2 linked regions of the Ovis aries genome follow. Each later gene encodes a partner of the first gene's protein in a complex. Links are inferred from orthologs where the notes say so. Each region holds a gene or a part of one and is shown on either strand. Other genes may lie near its edges.

Region 1 (3,166 bases):
GACCGTGGTTGACAAAAGAACAACTAGCTGAAAAGGGCGGGCAGAGCACCAGGAGGGTATTTCTTTGGGGCAGGGTGCAGATGTCAAGGGGGTCGGGGAGCTGGGTGAGGGCCTGGGGTTGCAGGCTGGCCAGGGCACTCCACTGTGCAGCCAACTGGTTGTGGGTGCCAGACGCGGGGCAGCGAGGTCATGCGGGAGTAGGTTCTGGTGCGTACATTGATGCAATCCACATGTCCCCCCCCCCCCCCCACTGTACCCTGCAGCAAATCAACAATGTCAGCGCCATGCTGGTCCTCGCGCGGCCTGTGACGGGCCCCCGGGAGTACGTGCTGGACCTGGAGATGGTCACCATGAACTCCCTCATGAGCTACCGGGCCAGCTCTGTACTGAGACTCACCGTCTTCGTGGGGGCCTACACCTTCTGAGGGGGGGTGGGGGGCCCTCAGGGAAGGGGAGGTTCTCTGTAGCTGAGGAGCCTGGGGCTCAGGGATGACTGTGTTCTGCTAAAAGGAAAGATGCTCTTGTGAAGGGTAGTAGAGAGAGAAAGGCAATAAAGGGAGAAAGAAGGAGTTCTGGTGGCTGAGGTGGGGGGGTCACACTGCAGTGAACCCCGGAGCGGGGAAAGGCCAGGCTCATGGGAGGGGGGCCACGTCCACCTAAAGGCAGGGCGTGTTTCTGCCCAGGCTGAAGGGCCCCATTGACAGGAGCTGGGAGCTGCACCCCCAAGGCTGGGACTGGCCTACATACCATGGGCACCAGAATCACCCAAGCAGCGAGGAGGTAACGAGGCTGCAGACTCCAGGCCCCAGCCCAGAAACTTGGACTTGGCTGGTCTGCAGCGGGCTGAAGAATCCTGCTCTAGACAGTGCCAGGAGGCCCTGGGTTTCAATCCCAGCTTGGCCTCAAACTATCAGTTTGGAGAAATCCTAGCAGCTCTCTGAGTCTCAGTGTTCCAATCCATAAAATGAGGCCACTGGATTGTTAGCGCTTTATAAACTTTTCTTTTCCAAGCTACAGAACTTCTCATCAAAGGAAATTTTATTTGATCAGAGAACTCTGATGACATGAACTCGATTCAACGTTGCAATGCCTCCCTGACTCCGTCTCCCTAGCAGTGCTCTGAAAGGGAACCCCAAGGGTCCTGAGGAGCTCAGTTTTAAAAACTGGACATGACAGTCTCCCCAGTTCCTGGATATTTTTCAAAACCCCTGGGGCCTGGTATCCCCTTCTAACACGTAGAAATGCACACACTTAAGATTTACTGTAGTCCAAAGATTCTGCTTAAAAGACTGGGTGGTCTGGGAAGATGGGGGTCTGTCTTGCGGCATACATAGCTCAGGTCAGAGGGCCATAGCTGCAGTAGAGCTGTGACAAGGTCCTGCTCAGAACGGGCCCCAGATTCCTGTGCAGAGAGAGAGGCAGGTAGGAGTCAGGCCCTGGCCGAGGGCAGCCCACCTACCCCCTGCAGGCTCTGCCTCCTGCCCTCACCTCTGCAGCGGCCCACACTTGATGGTGCTCAGCAGCATTTCCTGTTCCTTTGGGGTGGCACAGGCATCATAGGCAGCCAGTAAGCTGAGGGCGGGATGGGGAGTTGGATTTTCTAAGTCTTGACAACAGCTGACTGCTAGCCCACCCTGAGTAGCTCAGGCCAGAATCACGGGAGACAGGCTAGAAGGGGTCAGCCTGGGTGGGAGGAGTCAGGACCACGGCCGCCCTTCCGAACCCGGCCTTCAAGGCCCTGCTCCATCCTGCTCACCCTCCTTTCGTGCTCCTGCAAGTGTTTTCCCAGAACGGCTGCTCTTGGCCCAGTCTTCATGGTCTACCCACTCCTCCAGGAACCCTTCTCTGCTACATGCCAGGTCTCTCCCCCTCCCCAGTGCCCGAGATTCTGTCTGGTCTTGGGTAGCTCTGTCTTCCTCACCACCTGACCTCCATGAACCCTTCAGGTGTCAGCGGGGTCAGTCCACCCCTCATAGCACCCAACCACCCACAAGGCACTGGTTGAGCTGATGCCCATGCTGAGAGGGGGGATGCGGGCGACAGCAGAGGACAGGGGTTCCGTGAGCACCTACCTGGCAGGGCTGCTGTACCGGGCCACCAGGGCTGCTGCCTTCTCCCCGCTCACCCCACGCACCTGCATGAGCTGCCTGGCAAACACATCCCGAACAGACTGGGCCTGCAGTGGGGGCAGTGCTGCATCAGGAGTGGTGGGGGGCCGGAGCCTGGGCGGAGGAGGGGCTGGGCGGAGGCGGTACCTTGTTCTTCATGGCTCCCGCGTTGAAGTCGCTGAAGGTGAGGAGCGAGCAGAGCGGGTTTGGGGAGGGCCCGGCCTTTGATTCAGGGTCCCCAGAGGTGCCCCAGGGGCGGCTGCGGACGGTGTGACCCTGAGGGAAGAGCGGACTGAGGCCCGGCCAGAGCTCTAGGGGCCACCACCAGCCAGGCCTTGCCCCATCCCAGGCCTCAGGGGGCCAGCCTGAGACCAGGGAGCTCAGTCTCCTCGCCTTCCTCGCGGGAGCACAGCACCCAGGTGAGGGGCCGGTGGTGAACAGACGGTGCCTGGTGGAGTCTGCTCACCTGGTAGAGCCTCTGCAGGCCCCGCGTCAACAGGGCCAGGTAGGCAGCCGACTCCTTAATGTCCGCTGTGCGCTTCACAAAGAAGCCGTCGATGACCTGGGGAAGGGGAGCCACAGGAGCAGGCAGCTCCTAAGCGGAGCCACCGACCGCAGGCCCCCTGCCAGCCCGGCCCGCCCTCCCGGCTCACCTGGGTGTTGGTGACAGCCTGCAGCAGTGTGCTCTCAGGGAGGCTGAGGCTGCGCGCCGAACCATGCTCCTCCACCAGGTACACTCGGCGCCCCAGGCCACAGCGCTTCAGCCGGAACTGGGCAGGCAGACAGGGGTCGGGCAGGTCAGGCCTGGATGCTCATACGCTAAGTGTCCACCACGCCACCCTCAAAAGCGTCATGAGACCCTGGTCCCACCAGTTCGCCAGCCACTTCATCCTCCCGAGCTTCTCCACCTGCCTCACAGGGGCCTCCACACCCTGGCTTACGCTGCTGCTCTCCCATGGAAAGCCCCACCACCATCTGAGTGATGCCCATCCCTCCTCAAGCCTCCCTTGGCCTACATGTGGCCTCACCGTGGGGTCAGCCCAGCAGCCAGCCCGGAG
Region 2 (3,013 bases), on another chromosome or scaffold:
TCATGGTCGGCCTTTGAGGAGGAGGCCAGAAGAGGTGTCCGTGGTGGCAGCGGCTGGCTGTGTCCCGGGGCCGGGGTGGTCCCCTGGAGGCCAAGCCCCAGGTCTCTCCCTCGGGACGTCCGGCTGTTGAGCCATGGGCCTGCAGCGGGGCAGGCGGGTGGAGGGTGGCTGGGCCGGTACCGGCAGGTTGGGCGGCGACATCTCCTATGTCCTTCAGCACAGTGACTCAGACTCTGACCCTGAGTGCGCGTCCCTGCCGTCGTCCATCCCCAGCGCCGTGCCCGTGACCGGGGAGTCCTTCTGCGACTGTGAGAGCCAGAGCGAGGCCTTCTGCGGCAGCCTGCACGCCGCCCACCGGGGCCGGGACTGCCGCTGCGGCGAGGAGGACGAGTGTGAGTGCCGGGCGTGGTGGGCGGTGCTCCGGGTGGGCCGGGGCTCAGCTGGGGCCTCTCGCTCTCGCAGATTTTGACTGGGTCTGGGATGACCTGAACAAGTCCTCGGCCACCCTACTGAGCTGTGACAACCGGAAGGTCAGCTTCCACATGGAGTACAGCTGTGGCACGGCCGCCATCCGGGGCACCAAGGAGCTGGGGGAGGGCCAGCACTTCTGGGAGATCAAGATGACGTCGCCCGTCTACGGCACGGACATGGTGAGTGGCTGGTGGGGCCAGGAGGTGGGGGTGCTGCCAGGCGCCTCGGTCCCCTGCCCCCTCTGCCCGCTCCCGTTCCCAGATGGTGGGCATTGGGACGTCGGACGTGGACCTGGACAAGTACCACCACACATTCTGCAGCCTGCTCGGCCGGGACGAGGACAGCTGGGGCCTCTCCTACACAGGTGCGCAGGGCCCGGGTGGGCGGGGCTGGGGCCCCCAGGCTGTGGGGCTCAGCCCGACCCTGCTGCCCCCAGGCCTCCTCCACCACAAGGGCGACAAGACGAGCTTCTCCTCGAGGTTCGGCCAGGGCTCCATCATCGGCGTGCACCTGGACAGCTGGCACGGGACGCTGACCTTTTTCAAGAACAGGAAGTGCATAGGTGAGGCCGGGACCTATGTGGCCCCAGGGAGCAGGGCCAGAGCCCCCGGGGGGCTGAGTGCCCTGAGGCTGTTCCTCCCCCCGCCCCAGGCGTGGCGGCCACGCAGCTGCAGAACAAGAGGTTCTACCCGATGGTGTGCTCCACGGCGGCCAAGAGCAGCATGAAGGTGATCCGCTCGTGCGCCAGCGTCACCTCCCTGCAGTACCTGTGCTGCTACCGCCTGCGCCAGCTGCGGCCCGGCTCGGGGGACACGCTTGAGGGCCTGCCCCTGCCGCCCGGCCTCAAGCAGGTGCTGCACCACAAGCTGGGCTGGGTCCTGAGCATGAGCCGCCAGCCCCCCGAGCCCTCGCCCGCGGCCAGCGGCCCAGAGCCCCGGCGCTGCCAGCGGAAGCGCTGCCGAAGGACCTAGCCTGCTCCCTGATCGAGACCCCCGGGGCTGGGACGGCGTGGTCCCCGCCCCTGCCTGTGGACTGCCCCAGGGCCGCCGAGGGGAGGACCGAGCCGAGGTTTGTCCCGCTGCCCCTCTGCTGCCTGAGGCTGGGGCGGGCCTCGCCACAGGGGCTCCCAGCCGTTAGCCCTGTGACCCCAAGACCCAGCCTGTCTGCTCCGGTGCTGGGCATGAGAACAGCTGCCGCCCCAGCGCGTCTGGGTTCAGGTCTGGGGGGCTGGCAGGGAAGGGGCTGGGGGCCTATGGGCTGCTGCCTGTGAGGAGGACGCAACTTGAGAGGTGGGCTCTCCCTGGCACCACCGGCCTCACGTTTTTCTTAACTTGCTTTGCATGTTGTCAGCTCTGTTCCTCCTGTCTGGGGCTGAAAGCAACCATAATAAACTCGAAGTCTGATGTCCACCTGCCTATAGAATGAAGTGGGTCAAAGTGAGGCCTGGGGCTCACAGGTGTCCGTGCTTGTCTCCTCTTGGGGCCTCACGGTACCCTGGGGAGAGGTAGCCTGGTTCTCTCCTCCCTCTAAACCTTGTCTTAAAAATGAAGGTACTTCCCCCCCAACCTCCCGGTGATGGGAGTTTCCCCGGTGGGATCCGAGGCCCCTGCAGCCCTTCCTGCTGGTGCCAGCTGTCTACCAGCCCCTCGGCCAGTGTGCATGCTCAGGGCACGTGAGCCCCACCCCAAACCGTCTCTAGACCTTCCGCAGGCGAGAGAAGAATTTTCTTCTCCCAGTTATGCAAGATTTCTCTCTGCCGTCCCCTCATCCCCCAGCTTGGGGTCAGACCTGACTAAGCCCCGGGTTCGGGGCGCACCACCCCCTGTGGTTTCCCACGGGTCCTCTGGGAGGCTGTGTTCACTCCTGCCTGCAGGCGGGGGACGCCCTGTGCAACCCACGGGCCTGCTCAGGAGCCCAGGTCCAGCAGGAGGTCGGGGTCAGTGGTGGTCAGGAAGAGGCAGATGCGGCGGGAGAGGTCGGGCCCCACCCTGCGGGGTGGCGCTCTCTTGCCCGTCTTCACCGGGAGGTCAGCCAGCAGGGCCAGGCGCTCCTGCTCCGTGCCACAGGCCTCGTACGCCTAGGGAGGGCGCAGGGGTGAGCGGCAGGCCTTGGGAGCTGGCCCCCATACCTGGGGTCTGGGTGAGGGCGGGCACCCACCTGCTGCAGCAGGCGGGGGGATGGGAAGGCGCTGACAACGGCATCGGCCACGGCTGGGCTGACGCGGTTGAACTGCCTGACCTGCCGCCACCAGGCCCCCCGCAGCCCCATGCCGTCTCTGGCCACTCGCTCGCCTGCCGTCCAGCGCCCAGAGGTGCAGAAGGGGAAGGCCCCAGACTCCCGGGCCTGCCTGGGGAAGGGGTGCAGGGAGGTGCTAGAGGCTCCTCACCTCTGCCGAGCACCCCGTCCCCCGCTCAAGAGAGCCTGGGACTGCTTGGCCCTTGGACACTGCCGCCCCCACCCCTCCAGCAGCTCCCTGAAGGGAGAGGGTCACGCACTTGAAGGGGCGCTGGGCGAGGGCTTTGGTGAAGGCGCACACGTGTTG

The links. Proteins that work in one complex are often made in the same cells at the same time.
Region 2: the proteins of MUS81 (region 1) and EME2 are in contact, whole or in part, in a crystal structure (PDB 7F6L), measured with the Homo sapiens proteins. The link is inferred for Ovis aries from reciprocal best matches to the Homo sapiens genes MUS81 and EME2. Residues at the interface, in NP_079404.3 of Homo sapiens: His330, Glu351, Phe354, Lys357, Arg358, Arg363, Val365, Glu381, Leu385, Gln386, Thr389, Asn390, Gln392, Val393, Ile394, Phe398, Lys400, Arg401, Tyr411, Leu414, Leu415, Arg417, Gly418, Leu419, Arg421, Leu422, Pro447, Ile464, Lys467, Ala468; in NP_001244299.1 of Homo sapiens: Glu140, Arg177, His179, Glu220, Glu221, Val224, Leu225, Gln227, Leu228, Trp229, Asn231, Leu232, Asp233, Leu235, Arg245, His246, Ala249, Val250, Lys252, Ala253, Leu254, Gln256, Tyr257, Lys260, Gln261, Glu264, Gln266, Phe268, Phe270, Cys271.

What each region holds. Positions count from the first base shown.
Region 1 is NC_056074.1:40,418,258-40,421,423, reverse strand, and holds the end of MUS81 (crossover junction endonuclease MUS81), read right to left. Parts: intron 2,879-3,166; coding exon 2,762-2,878; intron 2,671-2,761; coding exon 2,575-2,670; intron 2,385-2,574; coding exon 2,256-2,384; intron 2,177-2,255; coding exon 2,073-2,176; intron 1,573-2,072; coding exon 1,489-1,572; intron 1,403-1,488; coding exon 1,336-1,402; 3' UTR 1,021-1,335; downstream 1-1,020. Other genes in the region: EFEMP2 (EGF-containing fibulin-like extracellular matrix protein 2), read left to right, coding at 264-425. UniProt on the Homo sapiens protein: Catalytic subunit of two functionally distinct, structure-specific, heterodimeric DNA endonucleases MUS81-EME1 and MUS81-EME2 that are involved in the maintenance of genome stability.
Region 2 is NC_056077.1:1,876,186-1,879,198, reverse strand, and holds part of EME2 (probable crossover junction endonuclease EME2), read right to left. Parts: coding exon 2,967-3,013; intron 2,819-2,966; coding exon of another isoform or gene 2,815-2,818; coding exon 2,629-2,814; intron 2,549-2,628; coding exon 2,378-2,548; 3' UTR 1,443-2,377; coding exon of another isoform or gene 1,123-1,442; 3' UTR 1,034-1,122; coding exon of another isoform or gene 463-1,033; 3' UTR 393-462; coding exon of another isoform or gene 218-392; 3' UTR 1-217. Other genes in the region: SPSB3 (SPRY domain-containing SOCS box protein 3), read left to right, coding at 218-392, 463-650, 733-1,033, 1,123-1,442. UniProt on the Homo sapiens protein: Non-catalytic subunit of the structure-specific, heterodimeric DNA endonuclease MUS81-EME2 which is involved in the maintenance of genome stability. In the complex, EME2 is required for DNA cleavage, participating in DNA recognition and bending.